2 linked regions of the Mytilus edulis genome follow. The protein of the gene in region 2 purifies or fractionates together with the protein of the main gene of each other region. This does not show direct contact. Links are inferred from orthologs where the notes say so. Each region holds a gene or a part of one and is shown on either strand. Other genes may lie near its edges.

Region 1 (8,768 bases), on a different chromosome or scaffold from region 2:
CCTAACTTTTTTTCAGATGTAACTGGAACCACACATACTTTTTTATTTGGCCTAAGTAAGTGAAATAATACAAAATATTTCTGCTTAGTTTCTCCAATTAGTGATTATTTTAAATTCAAGTGCTTGTGGAGTTATTTCATTTTCAATTATTAAATATAGATGATTTTTCTAATACCTGATTGCTCTAATAATACTTCTTCTCCACCAGGATGCTGAAATACAGGAAACTAATATTAAAATCATATTTATTTATTTACGATTGTGGTTACTCATTAAAATAACAAATTACATGAATAGAGAGTATATTATCCCAAGTACACTCATCACTTTCAAAATTGAGAATGGAAATGGGGAATATGCCATAGAGACAACAACCGGACAAAACAGCAGATAACAGCCAAAGGCCACCGATGGGTCTTCAATGCAGCAAGAAAATTCCAAATCAAGAGGTAGGCATCATCTAAATAAAAATCTGTACTAGTTCAGTGAAAATGGACGTAATACAAAACTCCAAAACATTTAAATGAACTAAAATGAAACCAGATGCTCTGCAGGGTGCAGCTTTATACGACCGCAGAGGTCGAACCCTGAACAGTTGGGGCAAGTATGAACAGTTGGACACAACATTTAAGCTTGATACAGCTCTGAATTTGGATTGTGATTAAATAGTTGACACAACATGGGTTTCTGACACAGAATGAATGTGGTCTAAGAACTTAAACTTAATCAAAGTGATGGAAATCACTCATGGAAAGATTAGAAGAGTAGTTTGAATAATTTCATATTAAGGTATGGTGAGGGAAAATGATCATTAATAAAGCACTATTGGAGAAAATTGCATTTACAGCAGGTCTTTAGAAGGAGAAGAGTTTTTCCAGTATGAGGATAAAATGAGCTCAAATTAAATAATACGGCTCTCTTAACTTGCACAATTTTATTTAAACTGCAGTTTATATCTTATCCAAATAATGTTGCCTGTGCTGAACATAAAATCGAGACCAACAGCTAAGAACATTAAAGTGTCAACAAAAATAATCTAAAAATGTTGTTTTGTGAAACATAGGTTATATGACATTGAAAGATTAAAAGTCGTAGAGTGTCTCAATATTTAAAGTATTTTTCAACACAGGGCATTGAAAATGTACTTTTTCAATGTAAACAAATTAAAAAAACTTTTTTTTATTGAAATGTGGATTGATGGGGAATAAACTAATAATTAAATAAACAATGGTTTGTTATAATTAAAAGTTTTAAAATTTTAAAACTGTTTCAAGCCAAATCCTGATAAAAAAAATTAGGGAACCAATCTAAATTGTTGATTAATTACAGTCTACAGATGTTTATTGGAAATTCATTAAGAAAATTATAGGCCTTACTTGAATATCTTATATATATATATATATATATATTCATATTCATATTTCATTTTTTTTTTTATAAGATCTTGTTATTCCATTATTTATCTTTCAGACATAATTTACAGAATCACTTTATGTAATCACAGGGATCTCCATGGATGAAAATTGAACGATGGAGGAACTTTCACCATTACAAACCGTGACTACGCTGTAAAGTGTAGCGCGATCGGAAGTATTTTATTCTTCCATACAGGGAATGGTGAACATGCTAATTCAATTGCTTATTTAAATTATATTTATTTGAATTTTCATTATAGAATTAGAAGTATCAATATTTTCATTTATTGCCGTTTTTAATCATTCAAATGCCAAGTCTTCATGGTCCCCCCTTAGTTGAGAATGACCAAAAGCTGTCATGGAGGTCCCCATGTAGATTTTTTGTATTTTTGGTAATTGTTATGGGGGTTAAAAATCATATGATGTGGAGCTTATTTTTCATGGACACTGTCAAATTCAGAACCCATTACCGGTATGGCTGATTTGCAGCAACAACAAAACGATTCGTACGGGTTATGTAAAAGGTTAAAGAGATTTATAAAGCAAATGTTGACAAATGAAAAGGTTTTTAATGACTTTATCTTGCAAATTGATGCTGTGCAACATGCCGCATCTTTCGAGTCTAAAAAAGTAACCGGAAACGCGGATGTATCAATTTGATTGTAATATACGAAATGAATTCGGAATTACGATACGATATTTCTTTACAGGAAATATTTAAATTTTTACTTTTAAACTTTTAAAGTAATTCTAAATTATCGTTACAGTAGTACTCAAGTTATTTGCGATGAAATAATATTTACTGTTTTGCGTCTTATTTTGTACTTCTTTAAAAAGGAGGATGCTGATTGCGTAAGTCAAAATAAAGCATGTGTTCGACTTGTTCAACTGTTTTCTTTGTAACTGGATTATTTATTAATTTAATCTAAATTATCATAATCATTTGCTGAAACTTATTTGGTTAATTCGACAAATGGATCGTCTATCCTCAGATAGTATTCTCCTGTCTGGTTTGTTGATCTACCTGTACAAGCTCAGGTACAAGTGATTAGCGATCTTAATCCGGATACCCCCCAGGCGTTAGAACTGTATTGGATTATAACATAAAAAGCCTAAGGGTTATGCAATGACATGCATTTGATTATAATTGATAAAAAAAATGGCGTCGGGCTACAAAAAAACGATGAAGTTTTGAACGATGGCGGAAGACAATTTAACGATGGCGCAAGACAATTTAACGATGGAGCAAGTCATTTGACGATGGCGCAAGACATTTGAACGATGGCGGGGCGCCATCGTTAAACAGGCCATGGAGATCCCTGATAATCATAATGTAGATAAAAAGAAATAGGAAATAATAAATGTATCAAACATCTAATATACACATTTGTGTATTCAATTATGAGGTCAAATATTTGTATATTGAGTTGCATATATATTAGAGTATAATTATGTAACACAGATGTTGAAAGGTAATGTGGTCAATTTGATTGACAGTTTAGGAGGTGGGGCATTATAATTAAAGGTCTACCTTGTCTCTTATTGTTTGTTGATAATGCCAGTTGTCAATCATATGAGTATTGTATCAATACTCAATAACCTAATCAAAATGTTTTAAAATAAGCCTGCACATCAACAAACTTTAATGATATACATTCTTAAATGAACTGCTCCAAAAATATACCCATTTTTTTCAGTTTATATGTGTATTATGTGCACATACATGAGAACTATAGGGAACTATATTTCAGTGTGAAAACATTTAGTAAAGGTAGCTAACCTGTAGTGTTGTTAGGGAGGCCAGTGCCTTTAGAGTAAAGATTTAAAACAAGTTCTTATCTTTCCAAAAAAATTTAAATTAGACATTTACCTATTTATGGTCCAATATCCAAAATCTAAATACATGGTTAGATTCAGCATAACATAGAACCCCAAGAATTCAATGTTCAATTTTAGACCCTTTATTTCGTTATCAAGCACCGGTAAGGGGAGTCTAAACATTTTGTTGATTTTTGTTTTAATTTTTATTTTGTTAACATCAAAATTGGGACATAGTAAATGGGACCAAGAACTTTACAGGAAAATATAGCTATTTTAACTTAGAATTAAATTGTGAAAGATTTGTTTAAGTGTGTTGAGTATGATGTCATATGGTACTTGTATATAAAGGTTAAAATGTGGATTGATACAGAACTGCAGTTTTACCCATTCATAAATTATACACAGGAATATTATAGTACAATAAAATTTACATTTTAATATAAAATTATTATCATGTATTAGCTTTGAACATGCCGAATGATGAATTTCTTTCATTTGTCCATAATTTATCCTTTCAATTTTTGTTTCGTACGTCCTACATCTTGACCTTTATGATTATGTGTCCCAATGTGAATGTCAAGTCTTTAAAACCATCTGCCCATCATAACTTACCTCTTCAAGAAACTTTGAAACATCATAAACATTATCATGAATGATCATAAGAGTCTTTGTTTTATCAGTGTTGTTCTTTACGTCGGCTTCTCTGAAAACTTTCGTCATTTTGCAAAAGTCGAGATTTCGTGAATGTCCCGGAAATGAAAGAAAACTTATAAAATTCGAAACGGACGAACAGAGTTACTCCCCTTAATATTTTTCCGGATTAGCATGAAATTCACTTCAAAATGTCCCAAAATGATTTAGACAATGCAAATCCTACAATATACGAAGTTGGTTCTGAGAGACCGGTCTTACCAGAGGAAGAAGATGAAAGTGTTACAGACAAAATAGATACAAGAGAAGTTTTTGGTAAGATAAACTAAATAATACGACAGCTGACTAAATCAGAACCATGTCATGGGTACCACTTGCTAAAGCTGCAACTTTAGTAAACATTTAAATTAAAACTGTATTGCCAGGTCTGTCTTGTCACCCTTATAAAACACACAGGCACTCGTCTCAGATTTTTTTTTCTAAAGGTATATAGGATTTTTTTTTTGAGACGAGTGCCTGTGCTTAAACACTGCATAATATTGCCTAGGCCAATTAAATGATTATGACGTCTTGAAAGGCCATTATAATTTTTTTCTTTGACTCCTAACTTCGACATATTGCCTTACACATCAAAAACACTACCAACCCCTATCATGCCATTACAATACAAAATATCTCAATAGACCACTTTCTACTTCCAGTTATGTCCTTCATTGGAAAAGATTGTCAATTGATTATGTGCACCTTTATGACATCATTTACCATATATAGGATCCCATGTATCTCTGCTCTATCTAAATTCATCAAGCGTCTTTATAATTGTCATTTTGCCGCATAAACCGGAAATAAAGTTTGTTCCGTAATACTATTATCACAATTCCCTGAATACAGAATAAATTGTGCAATACATCAGCATATTTTTTTCAACCTCTTCCTCAACATATAATTTGGTAGGAAGTGACAATGCCTCTTAACTATCTAATGATGTTCCAATTGCAAGCACTGAGATATTGTATCTATTGGGAGATATATAGGCTCATCATATGATTATCATGCTCCACAGATATATGGAAAGGTCACTATGGGAAAATGTAAATCATCTCTTTTGTTATACTTTGTTGTAGTTTAGGTTTAAGTTTCACAACTATACACATTCACTATCATGATTATAGTCGCTAAAGCAATTGTAAAACCCATGAAATCAATCCATGACAGTTGATGCCTTTGAAAGCATAAAGATATATATTTATAAATTACTTTCTTGATCAACTTCTAATAGTTGACAATACTTCACCATTTGAATGGTTTAACACTAGTCATATTTGAGGCCCTTTAAAGCTTGTCATTCATTGTGAGCGAAAGTTCTGTGTTGAAGACCGTTCTTTGACCTATAATGGTTTACTTTTACAAATTGTGACTTGGATGGACAGTGATCTCATTGGCACTGATACCACAGCTTCTTATATCTATTCACATATTGAGCCAGGGGGCAAATTTCTAAGTCTTTATTTTTTATTTCTGATTGATACTTTAATCAATTATCTTTACCATAACTGTAGCATATAGTTAAATAATATGTTTATTTCAGATTTGATCCGTGTTATAAATGACCCTGAACATCCACTGACATTAGAGGAATTGAATGTTGTTGAGCAAAGCAAAGTTATTGTAAGTATATTACTATCAACTGAATAAAAAAGATTACTGTAAATTCAGAAATTATTGCGATGATTTTATTATTGTGAAAAATGGGACAGGGTTATAATAGCAATAATTTAAATTCGCATTTTGAAATTTTTCCTTAAATTAAACAGGATTTTTCTCAATATGGCAAAAAAATAAAATCACATTGTAGTCTAAATTGACAAAAATTGCAATAATAAATGCATGCAATAATTACTGAATTTACAGTAGATGCTAGTAATGTCATTTATTTTAATCTTACAAGCATAATGTGATGTGTTTCTGGATAACTGTCTTCTGAGCTACATTGTTCATTATTTAACCTTTTATAAAGTATCTGCTGTAAAAAAGACTCACCTTGAGTGGGAACATAAACAAATTTAAGAACTAAAAAGAAATATAGTGTATTGGCAATTGAATGTCCGTAACCCTCATTTGAATTCAAGAGATATCTAAAAGAAAATTAAAATCAGATGAAATAAAATCATAACTTCAAGATATATTTTCAAGAGACTGTTTTGAGTCTGCAAGTGGAAATAATAATTATAAATACATTACATCATTAATCATGTTAATCAGTGCTTGATTTCCCATATTGGATGTTTTCAGACAAGTCGCAGGAAAAATCTCAAAAGAGCTATAGTGAAATATCTAACTTTATTCAGATTGATTAAATTGAGAATGGAAATGGAGAATATGTCATAGAGACAACAACCCGACCAAAGAGCAGACAGCCGTGAATAGAAGTTGTACATTTCATTAGAATTATATGCACCATAATGTTATGTGAATTTTTCTTTCAGGTAGATGATGATGCTAACAAAGTGACGATAGAATTTACACCCACAATTCCACACTGTAGTATGGCAACATTGATTGGATTGTCTATTCGGGTTAAACTTCTAAGATCTCTGCCACCAAGATTCAAGGTATCAAAAATGTAACATAAAGCCACAGAAAAACATCCTTAAAAATAAAAAAACTTAATTTCAAAAAAGTTATTGGCAAGGATTTGTATAGTAAGACTATACTATACAAATCCTTGTTATTGGTAAGCTGAGGATTTTTTATTGGAGCAAGAGCATTGCAAGACCTTATATAGCATTTTTATGAGTTTCTTGTAATGTATCAATGATTTAGCTGATAGAAAAAGAAAAGTATCAGAAGTTTTTATTTGAAAATAATACACTTTGTGCTTTGGGTTCATATGAATATTTTGCTGCTCTCTTAAAAGATATTAAAGACAAAAATAATTAAAATATTAATAGCTAAACAGTATATCTCAGTTCAGGGTTTCACCTTAGCAGTCATATAAAGCTGTGCCCTGTGGAGCATCTGATTGTCATATCTGAAAAACAATGATAAATAGAAAAATTGCAAAAATTATCAACAAGATTTTCACTCCTGTCAGATCATGTAATTTTTTAATTGCAGGTAGATGTTTCAATAACACCTGGAGCACATGCATCGGAAGAAGCAGGTAACTTTGTTATAAAATGTTGATGTTAAAAATTTCTAATTTCAAATGTAAAGTATATAGACATAGGCTCACCAAGGAAATTCTAAGCATTCAGTTATTATTGTATAAATTTGTTTAATCCAGTCTTGCTGCTGCTATTCACAAGATCTTGATATTTTGGTGTGTTTGAAAAATGATGCACTAAAAGCGTTTGTTTGCTTTTATCTATTGCCAAACATTCTTAAACAAATTGAAACTTGTCACCAATATTACTGGAATCAGAAAAAAGTCAAATACCATTTTCTGTCTGAACATTTTGTTATCTACCATTTTCAATTGGAATTTTTTGTGTTCAAAGTTCTATATGTTTTAAAAGAACATATATAATAATTTTTCATCTATAATATAAATAAAATGTCTGCAGCCGGTTGTACGAACATGTAATTATACCCCCGCTTTATTATACCCCCGCTTTATTATACCCCCGCTTTAAAAAAGGGGGGGTATACTGTTTTACCTCTGTCTGTCAGTCCATCAGTCCGTCCGTCAGTCAGTCCGTCCCATGAAACTTTCGTCACATTTTTCTCAGGAACTACACATCCACCCTTTCTGTAATTTGGTATCAACATTTATATATGTGATGCGTTTTCAGATTCATCACTTGACAACTTCCTGTTTACCGAACACTTGTCTGATTTTACACATGATAGCCAAGTTGAAAATTTTCGTCACATTTTTCTCAGGAACTACAATACAAGGATTTCTGAAATTTGGTTTCAGGATTTATATAAGTCAGCTATACCGTGTGATGCGTTTTCAGTTCATCACTCGACAACTTCCTGTTTACCGAACACTTGCATATTTTTACACTATTAATATTATCCACTTGCGGCGGGGTATCATCAGTGAGCAGTAGCTCGCAGTTTCACTTGTTAAGTCTTCATTAAGCCCTTGTGATACATTAGGCTAATGAAGACTTAATGACACATTAGGCTAATAACATGTTCGTACAACTGACTGCAGTTGTTTAACTCTCTCTTTAAGTAATGAACTATTTGGGACCATTTCAATTTTGAAGTAAAAGGACCTTTCTATAAAGTCAACAGTCCCATAACAGTATAAAAAATGAACGTCATCTTCCTTTGTTATGTAGATTTAGAATCTTCATAGTAAAGACTGTTCGTCGACCTTTGACCCACACTCATTTGAACCCCTGTCGATATAAGATGGTACTTTTACAATAATTGATTTTATATTTTCAGTAAACAAACAATTAGCAGACAAAGAAAGAGTAGCTGCAGCTTTGGAGAACAGTCATTTGATAGAAGTTGTTAATCAGTGTTTGGATGACCAGAAAAGAAAACTCGGATAGAGATTTACTTTCTAATTGATTCCAAATCCATGCATTTTCATCACTTTTCAGGCCCTGGGCTCAAAACTGTTTTATAACTGTTGTTCAAGGACCATCTTTAATGCAGAATGGCTGAATGACTTTTGAATATAAATAATAACAATCAAAACAGATAGACTTGATTTACAACTGGACAACTTGCATAATGTGTAAAAGCTTGAAGAAAGCCCAGGACTTTTACTCATAGATAAAGTTTTAACACCTCCAATATAAGGCCGACTTTCTGTTTAATTGCTTGAAAAAATAATTAAGACATAATCTTTACCAATGCCTGGCTACCTCAACATTTTAAAGTAGAGAATAGCCCAAAAATGTTATTAGCCCATTT
Region 2 (9,169 bases):
GGATTTTGGATGAAAATCTTGAAGTACTTTAATTTCATTATGGCCTTGAAAATCCAAATGCATGAGATTAAAGGTGTACAATCAGTATCCTGTTTTATACATTTGACATTGTTTGATTTGCACTTTCTTACTCAAATCAGAATTGTGGATACATGAACCAATATATGATGACAGTTGTTTTATATAGATATATACACCTTTAATTAGATTAATGTCTGTGTAAATGATAATTCATGAACATGATGCAATGTTAGTTATCTAATTTTGCTTAAAGCATCATTGACTCCTTTAAAACTAATGTGGTTTTCAATGAGTTTCTACAGTATATTTTTTAATAATTTTAAATTGATTTTTAATAAAATCAAGAATGGAAATGGGGAATATGTCAAAGAGGACAACAACCAAACCAAAGAGTAAAAAAACAAACAGCCAATGGTTCTTCAACACAGCAACAGATTAATTTTTACCAGATTAAAAGGCCACATGGGTTTTGTAGAAGTCAATATGTACAGTAGCTGCCACTAATGAATGCTGTAAAGATCAGTGCTTACCTAGATGGAGAAATATATGGTATCAATAAAATTACCGATACAAATATTTCAAGATACATAAACCCCGAAATGGAAGTCCATATTATACCAGTCATTGTTAAATCTGTACAGGAAGAAAACTAAAGGTCATAATGCAGGACAATAATAATCCATTTCATTCATTGTTAGAAATTATTTGTACCAAATTCTTTCACAAGAGTGCTACTAAAAAAATGCATAGGACATGATTTGTGTTTAAATTTCAGATAATAAGCCAAATTATATAATAGCTGCACATTTATATTAATTACTATAATTACTAGAAAATATTTTTCATGTTCATACATGTACATGTCATATAATTGCTGCATATTTATTAATTACTATAATACTAGAAAAACAGTTTTGAGTTCAAATACAATATTTTAAAAAAGCTCAATTATTTTCTTTTTAAAGCTATTCTATAATGAAAAAAATTGTAGTACAATATTAATTTCCAACTCATAAATTATAAATAAATGCACTCTATCAAATCTAAAAGATGATTATAATGATGTCAAATTTTCATGACATGTTTATTGTTCTGATCTCAAAATTTCTGTACATAGAAAACAACTAGAAAATCAACAAATGTTTTTTAAACAACTTAACAAGTTGCCTTTTTTTAATTTTGGTATTTGACAGCCTATAGCTCATTTTAGCTAGCATGGCTAGATTGACAAATAACTATGCACAATTCTTTTTCTTTTTAATAAAGCTTAGTTTGAGATATTCATATCATGAAAAAATTACAAAATGGTTTTATATATGACTGTATGGAAAAGTTAAGCAAATACCATTCAAAAGTGAATTTTCTTGAGAATAGCATTTTGCATGCAAACTGAACTTTTTGCATGTGAAAGCTACGGAATACACATCTGACACTCTTACCTTTGTGCTGATACAAATGGTAACATAAGTATAACAGCTATTGTTATTTCAACATATAGATACCCAGCTATACCTGACCACAGTATTCCAACCATGGCTGTAATAAAACTATTTCTTTTTTACAATTGTATATATACATATATACATATATATAACTGATTTTATTAGCTGAACATCTGAAACATCATGAACATAAACAATAAATGTCGTTATTTTTAATTATATATGTTGTATAATTGTTTAGCGGAAGTTTTTTCCCTTTCTAACATGTGTTTACAGATTTGATTTTTGGTGTTTTAACGCCACTTTTGAGCACCACATTTAGGCTACTTCGTGGCAGCCATTTTTCATTAGTGGAGGAAGCCAGAGTGCCTAGAGAAAACCATTGACCTGCAATAGGAAAACTGACAATCCTACTCAATTAAGATTGGAGTCCAGGGCACCCGAAAGAGCAGGGTTCAAGCTCACAACCTCAGTGTCGAATGGCTAGTGATTACAGTAGTAACAACTTAGACCACTCGGTCACCAAGGCCCCTGTATGTTTACTGTAATCAGCATGATCAGTGTATCCGTAACTCTGTCTGACCAACTTATTGTCTGACAAAATTTCATTTATTCACATAGAAATTTTTAGTTTTTTCTAGTTGAAAATATAGAAGAAAAGGTCAAATTTCTTTTTCGGTCAGTCAAACTTTAATACAGTTTGGAACAGACTGTGCAATTGTGTCATGTATGCAGACATAGTCATGATAGTTTATAATATTAAAATTATCAAAAAGTGTAACCAATCTGATTATAAAGGGCATATGATTCAGTTTTGATCCCATTTTGAAATTTTGATGAAAAATTGCATATAGGCTATTTTTAACCTGATTAAATCAAATATGTAATAAAATATATATACCTTCATGTGCTACTTTTTGAGTAAAATGAGGTTGAAATTTCAGATATTAGCACAAAATTCAGATTTGTGGACGTATTTTTCCTTTTGAACATGTTGAAAGAAATCCATAACTTTTTTTATTTTAAAAGATAAACACAAGCTGTTTTTTGTTAAATTATCTGTAAGTTCTGTTTTATATAAATGTTCTTTATATTAATGCATTTATATTATACAAATAACACATACAAAATGACATATTTATCAAATATTCATGAATGTAGAAAAAAACTCAGTTTTTGCTGTATATTTATCAAATTTAAAAAATTTGCAATATTGACACTCTCTTGAAATTGGTAAAAATAATCTTCATTTGTAAGGAAACCAAATGTCTTTTAACAAAAGAGGTGTCCATGAACTCGTTTTCAAATTAAATCAGTTTGAATGATGAAAATCAGTCAAAAAATGCATCTTTTCTATGATATGTCAGTCTGATGTCGCAAAAATAACATTTCACATTTAACCTCCCTGTTATACACCTTATCACTAATCCTGGCTGACCCGGCCGCTTGAACTTTTGAAGCATACAACAATCACTTTTCCATTGTGGCATCAGATATTTTGTTTTATGACGTCAAAATTTTACGGCAACCTGTGTGATTTTCAGTAATGACAGACAAATAGCGATAAGGTGTATTTTATCATATGCCCTTAAACAAGCAATTTTATTAACAAGAATATATGAGGGTGGTAAAGGGTTATTTTCGTGCAACGTGATCGCCGTTTTTTATTTCACGTTCAACGTGTTTTTACTTTTTTATTTGACGTTCAGTCGTGCAAGACGGGTGCCTCGTTCAACGTGTTCTGCTTATTTAATTTTACGTGCATCGTGATTTTCAAAGTCTTATTTTGCGTGCTCGGTATTTTTCAAATAAAATTCAAACACTTGGCAGGGATCTTCAAGAAATACTTTTTTAAACGCCGTAAACCAATTATAACATTAATGTGTATACTAAATTGGGAAAATCAAGTAAAACAAAGAGTTAATATATACAAGAAGACAGTGATTCAGTCATAAAAGGTTCACATAAAAGTATTTATTTTTCGTGCAACGTTCATTACAGAAATTATTTCACGTTTTTCTCGTGCAAGCTACCCCCCTTTACCACCCTCATATATGTATATGAACATGATGAATGCTGTTATAAATTTTTTTTAATGAAAGGGGTCTACGTGAATGGTGGCAAACCAAGTTTCAGATTGGAGAATCTACATTCAAAAGTAAGACCATTTCGTGAAGGAGAAAAATAGATTAAATTTTGAATGAATGTCGAAAAGAGGTTTTGCCTTCCTGTTTCATATTGGCTTATTGACTTTTTCTAATGTGTACCGACCTGTTGATTTTTCAGTTTCCCTATGTACTTTTTGTGTTTCTAGGTTTATTTCACGATGACTCTAAACACAAACCTTTACTATATCTTAAATTATGAAGATAAAAAAAGTTGCAATATTCTCGAAAGTGACCTTCTTAGTCATTAAATGTCTTGTAAGCTATCGTTAATATCAGTTGCTAAAAACGATAATTTGACTAAGATCGATGACAATTCATAATCTCGGCAAGGATTTGTAAGCGAGATTTAAACGTTGTTATAGAAACACAAACATCATGGCGTAAAATTTGTAATCTGCATTATTTTCTGTTAGTTTGAGGATGTCTCACAGGTTTGTTTATCCACTTAATTCTTAATTCTATGAATATTTGAATTTTACAAGTCAGTAATTGCTTTGAAATACCAAAGCATCGCATGTTTTACCATTGGCAAGGGTTTTGATTGCACTTAATTAATTTTTCAAGTTGATCATAAAAACATTTGTCTGTTTGTTGATAAAATGTTGGGACCTCTCAAGTAAAAGAACTCTTGAAAGCCATGCAAATTGCTTGTTTCTTGTACTCCTATAATTTTTAATTTTGGAAGTAACACATCTTCTGACGTGGGTGATATTTAATGTCAACGTTTTTATAGTCGCCGTCAGCTGAAATTCGTAGTGGTTATCGGTAAAAATAATCTAAACTATCAAATGGGTTCACTCGAGATATAGTTTTTCACATTCCATTCATAAATCACAAAAAGAAAAACCACTACCATGACTACTGACCTACCTTTTAAGTGATCACACTGTAATAATCCTGACCTTCACATTTTCCAGAATGTTTTCTATTGTAATTCCGCCATCTTCGTTTCTATGAGGATCATTTGTTTACATATGACATTCGTCACTTGGCTCAATATCTTTAATTGTTTTTACATAGGCGGTAATGGTAACGTTTTTTCCTGTAGCTCAGTCCATATTGTAAACTTGGATATGTATGATAGCTCGTTACGAAGCTGTGACATTTTCACATATGTGGTTAAATTTTTCGGGGTACGAAGTGAGATTACATGTACTTTTTCCGTAAATTAGCAAACCCCGAACATCCTTTTGTGATGCGGCTCCTTGTGGTAAAATATCCCCTTTTTAACACAATAAGTTCTTTGAAAATTTAATACTTTGAACACATTCAATAGCTCCATAGTTTTTACACATTTATTTCTATGTTCCTCTACTTTCCTTATCACCACAAATAATTAAGTTCAGTCATTTGTTAAAAATAGAAACATGTCCATTACCAATATTACTACACAGAGATTTTTTCTTTACACGTGACTTTTGTCAAATACACCTTATCGCTTTTTGTCGGTATCAGGTCCGTTTGCACCCAATACACTTTCGCATCTCACATTTTCGCTAAATTTATTCTTCTTGTCGCTAATTAATTTAGTGAGACCTCTGAATATTTAAGTGCTGTATTTTTTCTTTAGAATGGTGCATGATAGGATGAGCCTAAGGAGGGTCGCGGGTACAAATGTATTTATAAGATTTTCAGAAAAAAATGAAACATTTAATTTTCTTTACAAATTTTATTAAATATCTTAAGTAGTTGTTACTTTATCATATGGTTCAAAAATTATTCCAAAAAATCAATTCCTGTTGGCCCAAGGCGACTTTTAAAATGTAGTTATCATTGAAAAAGCTCCAAATTATCTCCTTTTTGGTGCAAAAATGCCATTTTTTGGCATTAAAAATGAAATATCTTTTTTAACTCATCGGTGACCTATATTTTTTATTGTTGTTTTCGAATAAGCTGTACATAAACTAAATAATTGTAAAATTTAAGGCATTTCTGTAATTTAGTTCTTTTTTTATTTCGATATTACCGCTATTTCTCCTATTAGTTCAACAGAAAAAAAGGACATTTACAAAAATGTATGTTTCTTTCGAAGGCATTGTGAGCGTAAATGAATGTGACCCCAAAATATAGCGAAATCCTATATTAAATAAAAAAATTGATTTAGACCCGCTAGCCCCCTTAAACTTAAGTTCTTTACTGTTGATATTTATGATGTTTGTTTTGAATAATTGTAAGAATGTATGATATAAGGACAAATAAAATATATGAAATATATGATATAAGGACGAATAAAATATATGAAACTAACGCAATAAATAAATGCCCTGGATTGCAATTGATTTAAGATGTATTCAACAACCACACAAAAAAAAAACGATGTCAGAATCTCACTTTATTCATAAACAAAATATTTCAAGCCATACACTATCCAAAACATGATTAAGATTTTATAAACACATACAGAACGTTGTCATAATCTCACTTTATTTAGAAACATTAAGAATTATTCAACACAAAATTGAAATACTTGTTGCCAGAATCACAGAATCACACTTTAATTAAAACAATGATTTTTTTTTTTCATACATGTAGCAATAAACTTACCATGATACAAAAAAAAACTTGTCAGAATCTCAAATTATTAAGAAGCAATGACATATATATTTATATCAATACACCTTCCAAAACTCAGTAAAATTGGGCGTGAACAGACTGGGTGCAAACATGTGGGGTGCGAAAGTGAAAGGGGGCGCATGTGAATTGGTGCGAATGTGATTGGGTGCGAACGGACCCGGATTCCTATTTGTCCACCATTACTAGACGTCTCAAAAGTTGTCATAATAGAAAAATTTTGAAGCTACAATGGAAAAGGGATTGTTGTATGACGTTGAAAATTAAAGTGGGACAGATTCCCGGGTCAAGTGGGAATAGCAGTATTTAGATGTATTGTTCCAGGACTGCAGACCTTAACTTTACTGAGGATTAACAACGTTACATGTGATCAATCATAAACATTTTTATTTGTACCATTACTGCGCCATTAGCAGATGAATTTTTTTTATTGTATTGAAAGATTGGCCATGTTGGCACAAGACTTGATTATTCTGATATATATTAAGTACAGTGAAACCTGGGTAAACCGAACCCCGATAAAACCGAATTTCAGTTGAAACCGAACAATGTTCAAAGTCCCACAAAATTTCCCTATCAATTAACGTTAATTTAACCTGAAAAAAACGAACCCTGTCAACACCGAATTCCGAACGCTTTTTGAAGGCTCGTTAGTAAATTTGTATCTAAAAATTACCTGTCAAAATCGATCAATACCAATAAAAACAATAAACATTATTAATTATTTGCATGATTTAATTAAACAAACACGGAATGGCAGAGTATCCCCGAAGGTATTTGAGGTTTAATGAACTTGTGAGTTGTTATTACAAACTAATTAGCATGTCTGTGTTCATGTATAAAGTGATTTTTTTGTAAAGATACGTTAAACTGGTCAGCTACCCCATCGATCAAAAACAAAAATGTAGCAAAACGTCTATCTTCATCTTCTTTTATTTTTACATTTACATCTAAATCAACACAAGAATAAACTGTTGTCTATTGTGTCACCTATTATCCCTGGTTAGTAAATGCCAAAATTATTTTGGTGTCGACTTCCGTTTACCTCTATAATCTGAACACCTGTGAAAACCGAACAAAACGCAAAGTCCTGAGGGTGTTCGGTTTGGACAGGTTTCACTGTATATTAAATTGTTCCAGGAATTAAGATTTTATAAATGTCACTATGAACATGATGAATAACTGTCAAAACATGTCTATTTAATATAACAGGTCTGACTGTGTAACCTGTAAAGGGTTCATAGAATTCTAATTAAATTTATACCTTAAAGCACTGAAATAAGATTCTATGTCAGCTTAGACATACTGAGATCTGAACTGTTGGTTGACAGGTAATTACACTTATATATATATATATATATATATATATATATATATATATATATATGTACAAGCAATGTTATGTAGACTGTGTATTTTTTCTTTTTCTTTCTTAGCACCTACAACAAACAATGGGGAGAGGGACAATCAGCCTTGCAGGATCTCCTGCAACAGGAAATCCCAGAAGAGCCACCAAAACCAGAAAAGGTTTGTACTACATATCATCCTAACATTCATATTGCATAAACAGAAACTGTAATACATAAATAAACCAACTAATTGAGGTGGGTGAATTTTTTTGTGTGTGATTTTTCAAAGCTGAAAAAAAGTAATTCAATGTATGTTAAACTTGTATCTTTCCTCATGTTCCTTGAATGTAAATTATATCATTTTGAAAATCATGAAATTAAATCATGCATTTGGTTAGAAAGTATTTATATTTTCCAAATAAATCCATACAAATAGGAAAATAAAAAGTTGAATATTTTTCTATATTTTATATACCATGTATACAGTTTATTGGTACAATTTTGGAGGAAGGCAATATTTTAGTCCTAAACAACATACAGTCACAGTCATAATGCATTTTCTTGTTATCAGACCTTGTATGCTATGTTGACCTTTGACTTGTTTACCACTTTTGATGACATACTCTATTAAAAAAAATATTACAAGTTAGTTATACAATGCATATTACAATTTTATTTTAGGATCGTTTGGCAGCATTCCAGTTGCTAGCCACCATGTATATAAAATATATACAAATATTCCGTAAATTAGAGCAGTCATATGATCAGATTGTCCACCCACAGAAAAGAAGAGTTTTACGTCATGTTCTGGATGGAGCTATGGGGAGAATTTTAGAACTGAAACATGAAATGGTCAACCTTGAGTTCTCAGAATACCACTACTTTGATGATGTCTTATCAGATTTAAAGTTGACACCAGTATGTACAACTATCTCATAAATGGTTAAAAAGATAAATAAAGATCCAAATAGATATAAGAAGATGTGGTATCATTGCCCATGAGAAAACTCTTCATCCAAGTCACAATTCATTAAAGTAAACCATTAAAGGTGACTGGTAAAAGTACGGTCTTCAACACAGAGCCATGGCTCACACTGAACAGCAAGCGATAAACAGCCTGAAAAATTACTAGTGTAAAATCATTCAAACTGGAAAACCAACAGACTGATCTATATGAATAAGGAGAAACACTTATGAATCACACCAACAAACGACAACTAATGAACATCAGATTCCATATGTATTGTTTGCCTATCAATTTTAAGAAATTTTCCAAATTATTTCTCTTTTTGATTTTAACAGTTGATAGAGCATTTAAATAAACAAAATTCTCTAATTTCAGATGAAAGTTTTAATGAATATGTGTTTGATTGTTCTACAGATTTAAAATATTTTGTCTGTAAAAGTCCACTTGATTTGTAAAAAGGGTATACACATATTAGCAGACAGAAATTAATTATGAGGTTTTTTTTCCAGAATGATGTAGAAATACCAATTCCAAAGTATTTTATCTATGAAAGAATGGAAGCTTTACAGAAAAGGGAGAAAACTCTTGGTCAGATACTTGCCAAAATGGGACCACAAGACAAAGATGATGTTAGTTCTTTAAATTTGGTTA

The links.
Region 1: the proteins of B-cell receptor-associated protein 31-like (region 2) and cytochrome b5-like purify together in Homo sapiens (co-immunoprecipitation; 4 studies listed by BioGRID and IntAct, with this or other methods). This does not show direct contact. The link is inferred for Mytilus edulis from reciprocal best matches to the Homo sapiens genes BCAP31 and CYB5A.

The regions. Positions count from the first base shown.
Region 1 is NC_092348.1:64,361,014-64,369,781, reverse strand, and holds the start of cytochrome b5-like, read right to left. Parts: upstream 4,016-8,768; 5' UTR 3,957-4,015; coding exon 3,849-3,956; intron 213-3,848; coding exon 176-212; intron 1-175. Other genes in the region: cytosolic iron-sulfur assembly component 2B-like, read left to right, coding at 4,079-4,202, 5,476-5,555, 6,374-6,499, 7,005-7,050, 8,292-8,401.
Region 2 is NC_092344.1:77,904,023-77,913,191, reverse strand, and holds the start of B-cell receptor-associated protein 31-like, read right to left. Parts: upstream 3,962-9,169; 5' UTR 3,735-3,961; intron 1,558-3,734; exon of another isoform or gene 1,556-1,557; coding exon of another isoform or gene 1,461-1,555; intron 655-1,460; 5' UTR 647-654; coding exon 552-646; intron 1-551. Other genes in the region: dynein regulatory complex protein 11-like, read left to right, coding at 4,052-4,062, 7,639-7,729, 8,233-8,469, 9,028-9,147. UniProt on the Homo sapiens protein: Functions as a chaperone protein. Is one of the most abundant endoplasmic reticulum (ER) proteins.